3 linked regions of the Mus musculus genome follow. The protein of the gene in region 1 purifies or fractionates together with the protein of each later gene. This does not show direct contact. Links are inferred from orthologs where the notes say so. Each region holds a gene or a part of one and is shown in the gene's direction. Other genes may lie near its edges.

The links. The genes of interacting proteins can lie anywhere in the genome.
Region 2: the proteins of Tmub1 (region 1) and Erlin1 purify together in Homo sapiens (affinity purification with mass spectrometry; 3 studies listed by BioGRID and IntAct, with this or other methods). This does not show direct contact. The link is inferred for Mus musculus from reciprocal best matches to the Homo sapiens genes TMUB1 and ERLIN1.
Region 3: the proteins of Tmub1 (region 1) and Rnf170 purify together in Homo sapiens (affinity purification with mass spectrometry; 3 studies listed by BioGRID and IntAct, with this or other methods). This does not show direct contact. The link is inferred for Mus musculus from reciprocal best matches to the Homo sapiens genes TMUB1 and RNF170.

Annotation. Positions count from the first base shown.
Region 1 is NC_000071.6:24,443,529-24,449,955, reverse strand, and holds Tmub1 (transmembrane and ubiquitin-like domain-containing protein 1 precursor), read left to right. Parts: upstream 1-2,109; 5' UTR 2,110-2,199; exon of another isoform or gene 2,200-2,209; intron 2,210-3,003; 5' UTR 3,004-3,036; coding exon 3,037-3,422; intron 3,423-3,682; coding exon 3,683-4,034; 3' UTR 4,035-4,493; downstream 4,494-6,427. Other genes in the region: Fastk (fas-activated serine/threonine kinase), read left to right, coding at 4,809-4,890, 5,651-6,061. UniProt on the Homo sapiens protein: Involved in sterol-regulated ubiquitination and degradation of HMG-CoA reductase HMGCR. Involved in positive regulation of AMPA-selective glutamate receptor GRIA2 recycling to the cell surface.
Region 2 is NC_000085.6:44,035,814-44,040,302, reverse strand, and holds part of Erlin1 (erlin-1), read left to right. Parts: intron 1-1,050; coding exon 1,051-1,130; intron 1,131-3,154; coding exon 3,155-3,376; 3' UTR 3,377-4,489. UniProt on the Homo sapiens protein: Component of the ERLIN1/ERLIN2 complex which mediates the endoplasmic reticulum-associated degradation (ERAD) of inositol 1,4,5-trisphosphate receptors (IP3Rs).
Region 3 is NC_000074.6:26,134,851-26,140,668, forward strand, and holds part of Rnf170 (E3 ubiquitin-protein ligase RNF170), read left to right. Parts: intron 1-778; coding exon 779-852; intron 853-3,854; exon of another isoform or gene 3,855-3,899; intron 3,900-4,018; exon of another isoform or gene 4,019-4,129; coding exon 4,130-4,240; intron 4,241-5,818. UniProt on the Homo sapiens protein: E3 ubiquitin-protein ligase that plays an essential role in stimulus-induced inositol 1,4,5-trisphosphate receptor type 1 (ITPR1) ubiquitination and degradation via the endoplasmic reticulum-associated degradation (ERAD) pathway.

The DNA of each region.
Region 1 (6,427 bases):
CAGGCACAAACCAATCAACTCCCAACTATTGAGTGATGCGAGCTTCTATCTGTATGATGTTAGGAATGTCTTGTAAAATTTCTGGTCTTAATCTGAAAACTGAAGTAGTTCAACAAAAATATAGCTTTTCTCATAAAAAAAAAAGTATAGTTCTACTTTACAATTCTAAAACTAATATTAATACTCTGGCCAGGTGGTGGAGGTGCATGGTTTCAATCCCAGCACTCAGGAAGCAGAGGCAGAAGATCTCTGTGAGTTCAAGGCCAGCCTGCTCTACATCAAGAGTTCCAGGTCAGGGCTACATATAGAAACCCTGTCTTGAAAAATAAAAATACAAACCAACAAACCTATAGCATCTCTGTTAGATTCTTAGAATTGGCAGCAAGAAGTTCCCCAGAACTTGAGAGGGAGGGAAACACTCCAAAGTGCTGCCCCAGCCACCAGCACATGCCTACCTTAACATTCATTGATTGTCTATCTGCATATCTGTTCCTCTATTAGTATGTATCAGTGAGGGCAAGGAGAGAAAGCATTATATGCCCAGTATCTTGCACAATACCTAGCATATAAAACATATATACTCAAATATAGCATAAATGAAGAAATATGAAGAAACTAGACAGAAGTTAATTCCTTACTTTATAAATCCAAACTAATGTGCCCAAGGCAATATTTGATCTGGTCTTAATCTGAAAACTGAAGTAGTTAAACAGAGGTCCCATCCATAGAAGAGCAGAGTAGGTTATCTTTAATTAAGACTGGACTGGATGGGGCTAGAGACATGGCTCAGGAGTTAAGAACATTTGCTGCACCTGTTGCTGCTCTTGCAGAGGACCCTAATTCGGTTCCTAACACCTACATGGCTCCAAAAAACTGCCTATTACTCTAGTACTTCCTCTGACCTCCAGAGACGCAAGGCTTGAGTGTGGTGTACTTAAATATACTCAGGCAAACACCCATACAAATATGATATACAAACCCTTGTTTTTAAAAAACTAATTAGGGACTTGTTCTGCAAGCATACGGGCCTCCATTTGACTCCTCAGTATTCATGTCAGAAACCAGGCTTGGGAGCCTCTGCCTGTACCCTTAGCATAAGAGAACAGAGACAAGTCACACAGACACACATGCATGTGCAAACTCCCAAGTCAAAACTGGTCTGTAAAATCTGGGATTCAAGATTTCTGCAGATATTGGAGTCAAAGGAATAAGAAAAAATCTACAGAGATTGGCTGTCACAGATCCATCGTTATATCCTTTATGTGGAAATACTTTTTTAGGGGTGGGAGAATAAAACAGGGTCTTTCTAGGTGACCAAAGTTCTCAACCTCCTAATTGTCCTACCTCAAACTCCCAGTGCTGGGATTACAGGGCTATGTCACCATACTTAGCCAGTTTCTCAGTTTACGTTTTGGTGAAGCCAATGCATTAATACTAGGCGAGCAAAATACAAAAAAATACATAAATTTTACAGAGCTGTCATACTTATTTAATAAAACGAGTTTCTTCTTTCCAACTGACCTAGAAGAATTATACTTGTTCAGAGATTAAATAACCCACCAGAGATTATATAGCTGATGAGTGTCTACATGAGACCGCAGGATGTACACTCAGTTCCAAAGTCTATGCCATCTTTACAATCTCATAGGGACACAGTGCAGCAGAGGCCAGGAGACAGCTGGCGTCAGGCACTCTCCCTAGCAAGTGGGGCAGACAACCTACACCTTCTCAGCAACAGAGTCAATTTAGAAAACCAAGCTGCTTTTTGGCGTCCACAATGACACAGGCTTGGCTGGGTAGTGGCCACCTGCGCTTCCCAGAGCCTTCATCACTGCATCACCAACGCGGGTGCTCTGACATGCTGCAGGATGACGTTGGTGTCAGGAGTGACAGATGCTCCAGCAGCTGGCAGCGGAGATAGAGTTTCTTGCTGCTGACCAAATCTCTGTGGACAAGCAGAAACCCCAGGGTCCTTCCCGTGGGCCCATCGACGATCCAAGGGTACCGGCAACATCTGGTCCAGCCCGGCACGTGGGTTCACAGGGAGGAGGGCGGGAACTAAACAGGGCGAACTACAATCCCCACAATGCTCCCGGGCCGCGGCAGCAGGGAAGGAGAGGGACCTCAGGTGTCTGCGACCTCGGTGCCTTCGGCCCGGAAGTGCCCGAGGAGCCGAGATGGAGCTGGTGGAGCTGGGCGGTGAGTCGCTGTGCGTGGCCGCGCCCACCGGGTCGCCCCAGGCCACAGCTGGGACCTGCTTGCCCCGCCCCGAGATAGCTGGTGCCCTCCAGTAGCTCTGGGGGGCGGGCAGATGGGAGGAGTGATGGAGTAGTCGTGGGGAGGGCTAGGTCTAGGTTCTCCCCGAGGGATCAAGGGTCTGGAGACCTCTGGGTTTGGAGCCCAGGAGGCGCTGGGAGACTGCTGCGGGGTGGGCTTTGGGTGGACCCGAGAAGGTGCCGAGCTGAGTAGACAACTCCCAAGACTCCAGATTGGCCAAGGGTGGAGTTTGACATTTGGGGTTGTCTAGGAAGCTTTGGGAAGTGGTCTTTGTTGTGGGTGGGGTTTGGGTAAATGGTAAGGGGGAGGGCAGGGGGCTAGAGAGACACTTTTATCAGAGAAACTTAAGCGACAGGGCATCAGATGAGCTTTGCTATAAATAGGTGAAGGAGTGAACTTTGGGATGAAGTGAACCAAAGAATAGGTAAGCTTCTGGGTAAAGTTTGATGAAGGTTACATTTAAGGAGAGGGTTGCTTAGAAAAGCAAGGCCCTTTCTTGAACGTAAGGTTTCGGTGAATCGGGTGCTGAATGAAGATCTAGAACTCAGATAGCAAAGCTAGCACTTGGAATCTGGTGATGGGAAGGGACGTTACCCAAAAGCCAAGTTTGGGACTACAGGATGCTGCATCCTGGGTGCGCAAGCACACACAATAACTAGGACAGTTGAAGTTGGAATGACTTCTGACCAGGAAGTAGCCCCTCACCAGTTCTTTGCACCTCTCTAGCTCCTTAGCACCTCTGGCAGCAGCACGGGTGCCATGGCCTTGATTGAAGGCGTAGGCGATGAGGTGACTGTCCTTTTTGCGGTGCTTGCTTGCCTTCTGGTGCTGGCCCTCGCCTGGGTCTCAACACATACCACTGAGAGTACAGACCCCCAACCACAGCCGCCGGGGACCACAACACCAGCACAGCCCAGTGAAGCCATGTCAGCCTCTGACAGCATCAGAGAGGAGGCCCCAGGGGCTGAGAGTCCCAGCCTGAGACACAGAGGTCCATCTGCACAGCCAGAGCCTGACACAGGGGTCACAGCATCAACACCTCCAGACTCTCCGCAGGAACCCCTACTTCTACGGTTGAAATTTCTCAATGACTCTGAGCAGGTAGCCAGGGCCTGGCCTCAGGACACCATTGGCTCCTTAAAAAGGTAAGCTGGGAAGAGGGTAAGAACAAAATGCTAAAAATGGGGTGGGTGTCTATAGAAGGGTCACCCTATGAAGCTCTCCCTTATTTTCTGTTTGAAAAATCTGTCTCCTCACATTATACACCATTCCTGTTAATCTGTCCCCCAGAGGCCAGGATCTGGGTGGTCAGGTGTAGGGGTGGTGAAAATTGGGATTGGTCCTCTGAACAATGGGCCAGGACTGCCTGAGGCCTGCTCTCTTACCCAGGTCCCTCTCTCCTCAGGACCCAGTTTCCAGGCCAGGAACAGCAGGTTCGGCTCATCTACCAAGGTCAACTGCTAGGAGACGACACTCAGACACTAGGCAGTCTCCACCTGCCCCCCAACTGCGTTCTCCACTGCCACGTGTCCACGAGAGTCGGTCCCCCACATCCTCCCTGCCCACCGGGGTCAGAGCCCGGCCCCTCCGGGCTGGAAATCGGCAGCCTTCTGTTGCCCCTGCTGCTTCTGCTGCTGCTCCTGCTCTGGTACTGCCAGATCCAGTACCGGCCCTTCTTTCCCCTGACCGCTACCCTGGGTCTGGCCGGCTTCACCCTGCTCCTCAGTCTCCTGGCCTTTGCCATGTATCGGCCGTAGTGCCTCCACGGGCTTTTGGCAGTGTAGCCAGCCCCTCTGGACCTCATTCCCCAAGGCGCAAAGGGAGCTGCTGTCTGCCCAGGCCCACTTCACCCGCTGCCTGTCTTTTCCCACTACCCTGGAGCCCAGCTTTGCGCCGCAGAGGACTTCGGGTGTTAGCGGAGGCCGCTCCGTGTGATCTTCATAGCTCTAGGCCATCTCCTGGGGCTGCTGGACCTCAGCCTTCGCTGGCAGTGGGCTCTTCTGGATCAGGCACTTGCTGTCGCTGCCTTGGCCGCCAGGGCACCCCAATGGGCCCATCTTAGTGTGCTGACAGAGGATCTAGATACTTCTAGTTTCAAAGAGCTGCCTAGGCTGAATTGGAAACTGGTGGACTGGGAGACTGGTGAAGGGGAATCGAGAGGGGCAGAGTTGTTTTCTGGAATTTGTGCAGATTAAAGAAACTGTGACGTTTTCCTACCCAGTGTGTCTGTGTGTTGCTTGAGGGTGGGGAGCCCTTGTTCTACGAGAATGGAACCTGCCCTAGGTCCTGAGTGCTCAAGCTACCCCAGGGCTGGACAGAGGACCGCCACTCCCGGCACCTTTCAGCGCAAGCTCTGTGGCCCCGCCCCCGCGACGTGCGCATTTCCCGGAAGCGGAGGGCGGGGCTCGCGGCTCCTCTGCTCGCAGCGCCTGCTGGGAGCCACGTCTCCGCCGCCCTGGCGCTGGACTGCGATTGGCGTCTGGGGGCGATCCGGGGGCTGCTGGGAAGATGGCGGACTCGGTGGCCCGCTGATGAGGAGGCCGCGGGGGGAGCCCGGCTCCCGGGCCCCAAGACCAGCTGAGAGAGTGACCTACGCGGGGCCCGGGGAGTCATGTAGGGTGGCGCCTGAGGGGCGGACCTCGGGAGGGCGGCGGGAGCTGGTGTTAGTGGTGGTGACCACGGGCTGCTCGCCTCTTGGGGCCGGGACAGGGTGTGGGGGCCCCTCCCGCGGACAGCATCAGCTCCGCGCCTTGGCAGATAGCTCACTCGGGCTCGGCGCGCGCCCCGCGAGCTTGCGCTGTGTTCTCATTTCACTAGTGAGGAGGCTTAGGCAGAGAGGCGAAGACATTAGTTCAAGGTCACGCAGCTGGTAAGTGGGAGCGCCCAGCATGGGACCCAGCACCGGCCCGCTACTGAGCCTGCGTTCCACCCACCCCGCCGCCGCCGCCTCCTGCGGGACGGGGAGGTGGTCTTCAGGGCTCATCGCCCGGACCACCGGGGCTCCCAGGCTGGGTGCGACCACTAGCCCTGTGAATGACCTCAGGCTTAACCTCTCCGCCGCTCTGGGCCTGTTTCTCCGCCTGAGAAATGAGGTAACAGCCCTGAGACTCCTCATCAGCTTGCACGGAGCATCGAAGGCGATATGCATGTGAAATGTGAATAGAATTGCACTGAGCACACTTAAAGAATTAGGGTTTCTGTGTCAAGGAATGGGAGAAGAGGGGCAGACTGGGTAAGAATACCAGGGCAATCACACGGGATTTTTTTTTTTTTTAAACTTCAGGCCCTTTGGATGGGGAGTCAGGTAAGGACTAGATAGCATATTTTTCCCCTTGGAGGAAACCTCACCTGGTTTTCTGGGCCACCCCCTCAGGGTCTCCACCACCCAGCTCCATGCTTCGAATCCTGCTCTCTGCCCAGACTTCCCCTGCTCGGCTGTCTGGTTTGCTGCTCATCCCACCAGTACAGCCCTGTTGTTTGGGACCCAGCAAGTCCGGGGACCGGCCTTTTGGAGGAGGCCCTGTGCAAGGCCTTCAACGGCTTCTGGAACAGGCACGGAGCCCTGGGGAGCTACTGCGATGGCTGAGCCAGAACCCCACCAAGGTGCGAGCTCATCACTACCCTGTGGCACTCCGGCGTCTGGGCCAGCTCTTGGTGTCTCAGCCTAGGCCCTCTCCTGTGGAGCAGGCCACACTGCAGGACTTGAGTCAGCTCATCATCCGAAACTGCCCCTCCTTTGACGTTCACACCATCCATGTGTGTCTCCACCTTGCAGTGTTACTTGGTGAGGAGGGTATTGGAAGGTGTGGGTGTTTCGGGAAGAATAGAGGAAGAGAGAGCAGTAGAGGACCCAAGCCATTGATAAAACTCATGTTCCCATTCACCTCCCCAAGCACATTTGCTGATTGCTCTCTGTATCCATGGTGGATGTCCAAGTCAAGCAGCATCTTTCTAACTGCCGGGTACTAGGTTCTTCCTAATACAGTGCTCTAGGGAGCCACAGACGTATAGTCTGTTATACTCGGCACAAGGTGACTTTTGTATAAGGCTTTCCCCACACACTGTTGATACATCATGCTCACATGATACCAAATCACTCCACTGAAACAAGTATTTTCCCATTCAAGAAACGATGACAAGGAATTTGGGG
Region 2 (4,489 bases), on another chromosome or scaffold:
TAAAATACCCACATACATTAAAAAAAAAAAAAAGAAATGAAATGAAAAGCTTTTAGGCATGTGCTCAGTAAGGGCAGGGGAGATAGCTCGGTACTTAAGAACACGTATGGCTCTCGAAGAGAATCTGAGTTCAGTTCTAAGAACCTAGCTTAGGCAGTACTCAGCTGCCTCTAACTACAGCTCCAGATGGTCTCTTGGGTACAATCTCTCTCTCTCTCCTTCTCTCCCTCCCCCTCCCCCCTCTGTGTGTCTTTCTTCTCTTACTCTCACATACACACATAATTTAAACACATAAATTAAACACACAAATAATTTTTTGATGTTCAAAATAATGAACTGAACCACCACCAGTTTGTCACATGTCAACAGCAATAATAACAAATTAGCTGGGGCCACACGCCTTTAATCCCAGCACTTGGGAGGCAGAGGCAGGCAGATTTCTTAGTTCAAGGCCAGCCTGGTCTACACAGTGAGTTCCAGGACAGCCAGGGCTACACAGAGAAACCCTGTCTTGACCAAAAAAAAAAAAAAAAAAAAAAAAAATTAGCTGGGAAAAAGATACAGTCCAGTTGTAATGAAAAATCTAAAACTCTGTAATCACGTAGATCTGTTCATTATTGAACCCAGGGCCTTGCATATGCTAGCTAATGTGGATGTTCTTAGACCATGGTCTATGCTTATATATAGCTTTTTCTTATCTCTCTGTGTTTCTAGATTCGGCCTGTAGTTGTTTTGCCTGACCCCTTCCTGGGTGGAGGGTAAGGCTCTAGGTGATGGGAAGTTGGAGGGAGGTGGAGGACAAGGGAACTACTTAGAACAGAAAATGAGTTAACTTAGAAAGGAGCTGTTGGTTAACAGTGATGAACTTTAATTCCCCTTATAAAGGAGCTGTTCTGAGGATTGAGAGTTTTTAAGTTGTTAAATTTATAACTTACAGTGAGGCAAACAATTGAAATATTAAGCAGTAAAAAAGATACTCTTACCCAGATGAGGGAATAGAGTGGCAATTTTCTTTCATTGCAAACATGCTGTTACCGTTTTATTTGCTAGATGCTGCGTTCCTGGCCCGAGAGAAGGCAAAAGCAGATGCCGAGTATTACGCTGCACACAAATACGCCACCTCAAACAAGGTGACTGCCCATGCCCTTCCCTAGTAACTGCTTCTGGTGTGCATTCAATATCATGGGTTCTAGTGTGGTAGAAGTAGTTGTATTCAGTATCAGAAAAGGGTAGTGGCCAACCCATCATTGACCAAATACATAGCAAGACATATTGATACCCATTGTTAGGGAGGGAACATTGTCTGTTTTTCTAAAAGTAAGGAGTAAAGACTAGTGGATTCATGAGCACAGGTCAAATGCCATGAAACCATCCATCTCTCCTGTAAGAAAGGGCTCTGAGAAGTTGAAGATCTTTTGAGAAAATGACAGAAAAAGAGGAAAACTAAGTTAGAATAGCTTTCCTGATAAGTTAGCTTTTCAGGATAAAAACTGAACTTTACTGCCTCCTCTCAGGGACATCCTTGCAGCTTCTGGGGCAAGATAGTTTTCCACCGTTGAAGGCTGTCCGCGTGCTATGGTGCATTTGTGTATCTGTCCCTTCCTGCTACACACCTGTAGTACTTGTCTTAACATCTTCTCTCACATACATTTCCACAGTGTAAATTTAGAAACAAATTTGACTTCAGATGAAGCAGAGTGGAATGTTGACAGATGAAGGCAGGATGGGGACTTTCCACATCCGCCAGTACAAATTGGTGGTTGGAGATCTGGCCAGGTGGAAGCATCCGGATCTCACTACTGGGACTGAAGAGATGGTTAAGGGTGCTTGTTGCACTTTCAGGGGGTCAGAGTTCAATATCTAACTCCTACACTGGGTGACTCACACTCCAACTCTAAGGGGTTAGATTCTATCTCCGCCCCTTCACAGCCATGTACACATGTGCACACACAAACATACATATAAACAAAAATAAAGTGTCATTTTAAAAATAAAAGACATTATTATGAAGATCAAACTTATTCTGAAAAGGGTAGTCATTTGATATCATCTTGAGAACTGCTACTCATATCAGTGTGTATTAAAGGCTTTAGAAAGTCATTTAGTTGGACTGTTTGATCAGACTTAACTGCACTGTTTTGGCAGATGATTAGAATCCGCTGGAGAGGGTGGAGATGCAGTGACTAAAGATGCTGAAGTGCAGAGAGGAACTGATCAGCACTGCAAAGGACAGGACAGACTCAAGACAGAGAGCAGATTACTAGAGTAATCCTGAGGAAATTAAGAAACAATAGAAATGGGTTCTAAACCAAAGCAAGTTTGGTTGAAAATATCAACACAAAATACTAGTAGTGAGGCAGATGGTGTAGCTCAGTGGATAGAGTGCTTAGCTAGCATGGCTGGTCCTCAATGTGGTTTCTAACACCACCTAAACCTGGGTGTGGTGACAGGTGTCTAAGATCCCAGTAATCTGTGGTAAAAACAGGAGAATTAAAAGTTCAAGGTCATCCTGTGCCTCAGAGCAAGTTTGAGGCCGGTCTGAAATATGTGAGGTTCTTTTTCAAACATTAACTGTTGGTAGAAGCAGTTCTGGTGGTTGGCAAACATCCATCTTACCACAAATGACTTAAACAGCCAACTTGTGGATAAAGGCAGATATGTCAGCTTAGGTGATTTCTAGACATACTCCAATTCTCAAATTTGGTTGAAAAAGTTGAGTCACTAAGACACCTGGTTAAACAGTTGTGAACCTAGGCTTTTCCTTGGAAACCCTAACACTCATCTGTTGAGTTGTGCACCTCTCTCAAGAGAATCTGAAATTCTGTCATTGCCTGGTTGAGTTGAGCATGAAACAAAATGCATGCAAACTACTCTATAAGCTATAAAAGAAATACTGTGTTATTTGATCCCCAATCTATTAAAAAAAAGGATAAGGTTTCTCCTACATTAAGACAGGAGTTTGTTAAAGGGATTTTAGCTAAGAACTTAGCTATTCATAGGATAACCACACTCCAAAATGAAATAGGGTCACTGGGAAACACTCTAAGTTGAGTCATGTTACTCAGGAGAGCAACTGGAGAAATAGTCTTCAAGGAGAAGAGATGACTGCTGCACCAAACTATTCTAACTCTTCTGCTCTTGTTTCCTCACCCAGCACAAACTGACCCCAGAGTATCTGGAGCTCAAGAAATACCAGGCCATTGCCTCAAACAGTAAGATCTACTTTGGCAGCAACATCCCCAGCATGTTTGTGGACTCCTCCTGTGCTCTGAAATACTCTGATGGTAGGACTGGGAGAGAAGACTCCCTTCCCCCAGAGGAGGCCCGTGAGCCCTCTGGAGAGAGCCCCATCCAAAACAAGGAGAACGCAGGTTGATGCAAGAGGTGGAAATGTTCTCCCATATCAAGATGCGACCCAAGGGGCTAAGTGGGAACAGTGGTTATGTGGACTCGTAAGATTCACAGAGAATGTGTGCTCTGTTGTGATTCTCTTGTCATAGTCCTGGTTTGCCAGCTGACTACAGGATAGACCCAGCTGTCTGGCACTCAAACGGTCTCTGCAGCCACAGTTTTATCAAGTATCCTGTATGTGTTCCTTTGTAAACCGGTACTCATGAATGAGGGAAAGTCTGATGCTAAGATACTGCCTGCACTGGAATGTCAAACACTATATAACAAGCTGTGGTTTTTAAAAGCTATTGAATAATGTTTACATTGGTCCCTGAGGACATGTGTGCTCAGACATTCAAGAGCTAGGAGGCCAGAGAGAAGACCTTCAGAAAACGGTAAGTTAAAGAAGACAAGTGTCATCAGACACTTGGGACCCGGGCTCTCTTTAAAGTCTAGTCCCGGCATTCCTCCATGTGATTGACAGCCAGACCTCTGGGTTCCCAGGAAATTATCTTCCAGTTGAATGACCATTTACTTGATACAAATTGTACCTTTCTGTTTTTCTAGTCAGGTTGGTGGCCTGCAGGGACGCGTACTTTGCCACCCGACCAGAGGTTCCTCGAAGATATTCCCAATCACTAGTTTATTGCGTTAGGAGACTCAGAGATATAGAAAGCAGCTGAAATTTAAGGGAGATAAAGCCTGCACTGCACCAAAGCTACGGGTCCCTGTGTTTCCTCTATTCAGTGATGTCATCAACCTCACTGTCCCAGCCCATGTGTGACTAAAGTGCCCGGTTTTAGCCACAGACAACTGCTTAGATGTCACCTCTTGGCTGACCAAAGCTGGGACAGGGCTTTAACCAGACATAGGAGCAGTGTGCAATTCCTGATTCACTGCACAGTATTATGTCATAATTGCAGGAATTATTTTTTGTTTTTAAAACTGGATTTGGGGCACATTCATTCACCCCAACACTTCTATCTAAAGGCCAAGGTTCTAGGGCTGCTATGGTCACTAACACACTGATTCTCCTTAAAGTAATTCTCGAAGTGTGGAACAAAGTGACCGAGACAGCATCCTCAGTCATCTTTGTCTC
Region 3 (5,818 bases), on another chromosome or scaffold:
TCGTGAACATCACCTAGTACAATAAGTACTTCAGACATTAAGCTAAGCTAAGTATTTTATCAAGGAAGCCCACTACTTCAGTAATTGGTTTTCAGGTTTTGGAGTGGCAGGAAGGAAAGGGCTCTTGTAGCTGAGGCTGGCCTTGAACTTTCTGAGTAGTTGAGGTTGATCTTAAACTTCTGACTCTCTCACCAACCTCCTAAGTGAAGGGATTATATCCATCACAACTTACTTAATTTGGCTTTTTAACCCTTGATATTGTTGAGACAGGGTCTCACTGGGTAGCCCGAAGAGCCCTCTCACTTGAGATCCAGGGGTCTCTGCTTCACAAGTGCTAGGATTGTAGGTATGTGTCAACACACCTTGCTGGGTCAGTGGACTCCTAAAATATTTTTCCAATACATCAAATTTGTAACAAATAGTATCTTACAGTTTGTCATATTTGGTATAGTGTTTATTTTACATAGGAAACTGTTTTCTTGAGGCCTCAGTAACTGAGGTGATTAATATTTGCTTTTTATTGTATAAAATGTCCATTGCTTAAGTAGTAGCCAAAAGAAAAATGTTTTTTTACTGGTTGGGAATGACTGCCAGATTTTAATTTATCTGAAAATTTGGTTAGATGAGGTAAAATTTTCAAGGAATATTTAGTAAGCTATATCAATAAACAATGTAATAAAACAATGTTTTAAGAAAAGTAATACTATTAAATAGTGGAAACTTGACCAGCAAATATGAACTTTAAAGCTTCATTATTGATGTTTTCTTATTCCACTAGGTTCCTGCATAATTGCATACTGGCGATACGGGTCCTGGCTTGGTGCAATCAGTTGTCCTATCTGTAGACAAACGGTAGTGTTCTCTAGATATAAAGTATCACTTATGGTATTTCATTTCATAAATATTAGGGCTTCTTTTGGTTTAAGATTTTTTTTGTGTGTGTGTGTGTGTGTGTGTGTGTGCTTGAGTGTAAGTACATAGCCTGAGTGCAAGGGTCCATAGAGGCCATAGAAGGCACTGGGTCCTTCAGTGACTGTGAGCTGCATGATGCGGCTGGGAACTGACCCTCAGGCCTCTGCAAGAGCAGCACGTCTTCTTACCACTGAGCCATTCTCCTGCCCAGTGTTAGCAGTCTTAAATTTAAACTGAGTTACTTTTCCAGCCAAATTGCATTTTAACCTACTGTGTAACTTCTCTAAATTTAAAAAAAAAATTTTTTTTTTAAAATCACTAAGGTATCATAAAAGGGGGAATTCAATTTGAAATCCTACAGTTGTAGTGAAAAAACAAGAGATAAGTGAGTTTTTCCCACATACTGTTCTCTTTTGGGAAAAATATATTCTTCCTTTTAAAAATATTTAAGTATTTATCTTGTCCCATTTTCTTTGAACTTTAATAATGAAGCCACACAGTTATCCTTACAGTGCATGCTTCCTTTGTTTTAGCAATAATTTTCCCATTGCTGTTAGAGCTGGAGAGCCAGGCTTCCTTCTTTTCCTTTTTATTTCTGTAGTCCCAAACTCTGCCTCAGCACTTTTTACTTTTTCCCACATGGTTAGAAGGAAAGGTGGTTTGCCCCTCTCACATTGTTTCTGTGGCTAATTTGACATGTGTCATGGGCAGTTCATTTGCCTTAAACTAATTGCCAGTAGTTCTTAGCTTTTGCCAGAAATGTGGAGGCCAGGCAGTGTATCTTAAACTGAAAAATGAGTTCCACCCTGTCTTATCCAGTGTTCTATTGCTGTGAAGAGCAATGGTAAATTTTATAAAGGAAAGCATTTAGTTGGGGCTTGCTTACAGTTTCAGAAGTTTAGACCATTATCATCATGGGAGGAAGCATGGCAGCAAGCAGGAAGACACAGTGCTGGAGAAGGAGCTGAGTTCTACATCCAGATTCACAGGCAGCAGGGAAAGAGACTCTGGGCCTGGCTTGAGCATTTGAAACCCCAAAGCCCAACCCCCAGTGATGTACTTCCTCCAGTAGGCCACACCTACTCCCACAAGGCCACACCCTCTAATCCCTGTCAAGTGGTACCACTTTCTAATGACCAAACATTGAAAATGGTAAGCTTATGGGGACTATCCAGATCGCCACACACACTCAGCCCACTTTTTGATTTTACTCATGGCTTTCCTAGAGTGGTTGTTGTACTGAAAACTGACTAGGGGTTAGTAAGGGGATAAGGCTCTCTTAGTCTGTCTGATAGCCATTGTTTCCCTAATTTCAGTCATTTAACCTGGAGGCAAGACAGTAGAAAGTACTGTTTGACTGGCAAATGGCCATGGAAATAACAGGCAGGCTGCTGTCTGACGAGAGCACGCTTGTCACTCCTCTCTGTACGTTAGCTTACCAAACACTCATACCAGCACCTCAAGACCTTGCCTTATTCTTCAGGAGTACTAGGCCTCCCAAGGGAAAGCGCAGTTTTGATACCACCTGCAATGCCAGATAACAGGCTCTGGAACAGGTCAGCTTCCTGCCTTTCTTGCAGATGTTGACGTCATTCATGATGAGGCTGTGCCATCTTTTTTTCCATGTGTGCATACCACTAATAGTGCCCAGCTCATAGTAGATGCTCAACCAAGCATAGGAGATGCTCAATTACATTCATTTGTTTGTTTTGAGACAGTGTCTCACTGTGTAACCCTGGCTGTCCTAGAGCTCACTATGCAAGCCAGGCTGGCCTTGAACTCATAGAGTTCTATCTGTCTCTGCTTCCTAAGTGCTGAGATTAAAGGTGTACACTACTGTTCCTGACAAGACTGCATTTTAAAGAAACAGTTCATGTTCTAAAGCCTTACATTAGCTTTGAGAAAAGAATAGTTACAAGAAGGAAAAGACCATGAAGGTTAGATCTCTTAAGATTAGATTTGACATGGTGGCACACGCCTTTAATCCCAGCACTTGGAAGGCAGAGGCAGGCGGATTTCTGAGTTCGAGGCCAGCCTGGTCTACAAAGTGAGTTCCAGGACAGCCAGGGCTATACAGAGAAACCCTGTCTTGAAAAATCAAAAAAAAAAAAAGATTGGATTTGACTGTCCTGACTATAAGGGCTAATCTTGCTGGAGACTTAAAATTAGTGCCTTATTTTAGAGACTACATTTTTATTGACAAATCTGTGAAGGTATGGGTGACTGTGTCTGCTGCTCATACCACTTAGTCACTCCTTCATTTAACTTTGGAAAATATCTGATTAGTGGTTTTCTTGTTCTCAGGAAGGATAAAAACATCTAGAATGATCCAAAACTAAACCTGTTCTTTTTTAAGATTTATTTATGTTCTATGTAAATGAGTATGCTCTCTGCAAGCACATCTCTGTAAGTCTGAAGAGGGTATTGGATCCCATTACAAATGTTTGTGAGCCACCATGTGGTTGGGAATTGAACTCAGAACCTCTGGAAGAGCAGCCAGCATTCTTACCCACTGAGCCATCTCTCCATCCCCCTAAACCCGATTTAGTCCCTTTCATCTTATCTCATTGTATTTATCAGATATCATTCTTTAGAGATTGTTACATTCTTAGCTATACATAGTTTTCAAGGTACCTTAGGCAACTGTGAGTCATCTTTACCATGGTCATGAAAGTAGCAAGACTAACCTTTGTTCTATAACAGTACCAAAACTTATATTTTCTTATGACAAAAAGGACTGGTGTTTCAGCGTCAGGCCATACAACCCTTTAGTTTCTGTAGTGGGATAGAAAGACTCAAAGACATGCCAAGTGTGAGTAAAACCAGTCAGTCGGGAGTGCCTAAATCTTTCTCTGAAAATGATAGGTTTATATTTTTAATGTCACTTTGTTACTGAAGGTTTTCCTATCATCCTTTTATCTCCACGTATATGCTTTTTGCAGAGAACTGTGGGTTTTAGTGCCTGATATGAACAGGAAAATATTAGAGTAAGTGTTTAGATGTGGAACCCATTTTATCTTGGAGGAATTAAAAATTACATTTTGTACTACATTTTACTGTAAGGCAGAAATTACTCACACGTCCCCCATGTTGCCTTTATTCAAAGGAATGAATGAAACATACATTCAGAAGCTTTTCTCATTCTCTTGAACAACACAAAGTGAAAAGTGATAATAATGGTGCAGAAGGTGTAACAGCTTTTTCCTGTAATACACAGGTAACTCTCCTCCTAACAGTATTTGGTGAAGATGATCAATCTCAGGATGTTATAAGATTGCGTCAAGATGTTAATGATTATAACCGGAGATTCTCAGGGCAGCCTAGATCTGTAAGTAATATTATAGCAGCTACAAAGTCAGAGAGAGCCTTTATACTTTTTGTACAATCAGATTTATCAACCAGCTATTGAACTATGTAAAGTCTTAGTATGTGTTTTGGACTAAGTTTTAACCTTCATCATTGCCAGTTGCTAGTTTTCCCAGAGGGCAGAGTTTATCTATTTATTCATATATTTTTTTGACACAGGGTCTCATTATGTAGCCTTGGGTGTCTGGAACTTGATGTGTAGACTAGCTGGTCTTGAAATCCCAGACCTCTGCTTGTCTCTGCTTCTAAGTACTGCCATTAAAGGCATGTGCCACCATACTTAGTCCTTTGCTGTTTTTGACTGAGCATTTAAAAAAAAGCTGTTTTAATCTATGTATATATGTGTGTGTGTATGTATATATGTGCACCACATGCATGTAGGTGTCTCTGGAGGCCTAAAGAGGGCATCAAAACCTCTGCAACTGGAGTGGTGATGGTGAGCCACTCAGCATGGGTGCTAGAAACAATAATAGCAAGTGTGCCTTAGCCGTTGCTCCAACACACACACATATACATATACATTTATTTATTTATTTATTTATTTATTTATTTATTTTTATATGCTTGAGTGCGCGCGCACACACACACACACTCACATACTCGTTAGTTCATTTTTAGTGTATAATACCACGTCCTGGTGGAACAGACATAATCCCAGGTATTCGGGAGGCTGGGGCAGGAGGATAGCAAATTCAAGGCCAGCATTATTAACTTGATGTGATGCTCTTGGAATAAGACATGAAAGGACGGCTAAGGATATAGCTCAGGCTAGAACACTTGTCTGCCAAGTGCCTAGGTTCAATCCCCAGGGCTATAAAACTTGTACATAGTCTGCCTTTTTCATTCATTCATTCATTCATTCATTCATTATCACATAGGCCTTTTTCAAGTAGTAAAAACAGCCTGTTGTTAAAGGAAGTCGTACCCCAAGATCACTTCATCTAATAATTGATGGATTTTTCAGTCCAACTCAGATATATCTTGATAGTAAATCTGACACTTGGGAACAAATCCCAGACTATAAGCCTGCATGGTGTTTTTGAGAGAGGGTCTTATTCTGTAGCCTAGGCTAGCCTTGAGCTATTACTGATCTCCTGCCTCCCAACCTGGGAATTACAGGAGTGAACCACCACTCCTGGCTACAGTTTCTTGGCTTATTTTATAAGATTATTGATCAGTAACTTGAGTTTTGGATGACTTTAGGTTTAGAACCATTTATCTGAAATACTTGAGATCCGAGTTTTCAGATTTCAGAGTATTTGCATGATTTTACAAATAGAACCTCCTGAATTTGAAAATCATAAAGTCACAAGTTTAACATGTTCTGAAATCCAACACTTTTTGGCTCAAAAACTTTTAGACTTTAGAGCCTTTTATGTTTTAGAACACCTAAAAATCTGTAGCATTTGAAGTATCAGACTTTCAGATATGTTTTCAATCTATTATTCCACATTTTAAGCATGTTGATACTTTATTGCTATTCAGTTGTCTATAAGAAGACCTGTTTTATAAAAAAAATCTAGTAACTAATTTTTAAATA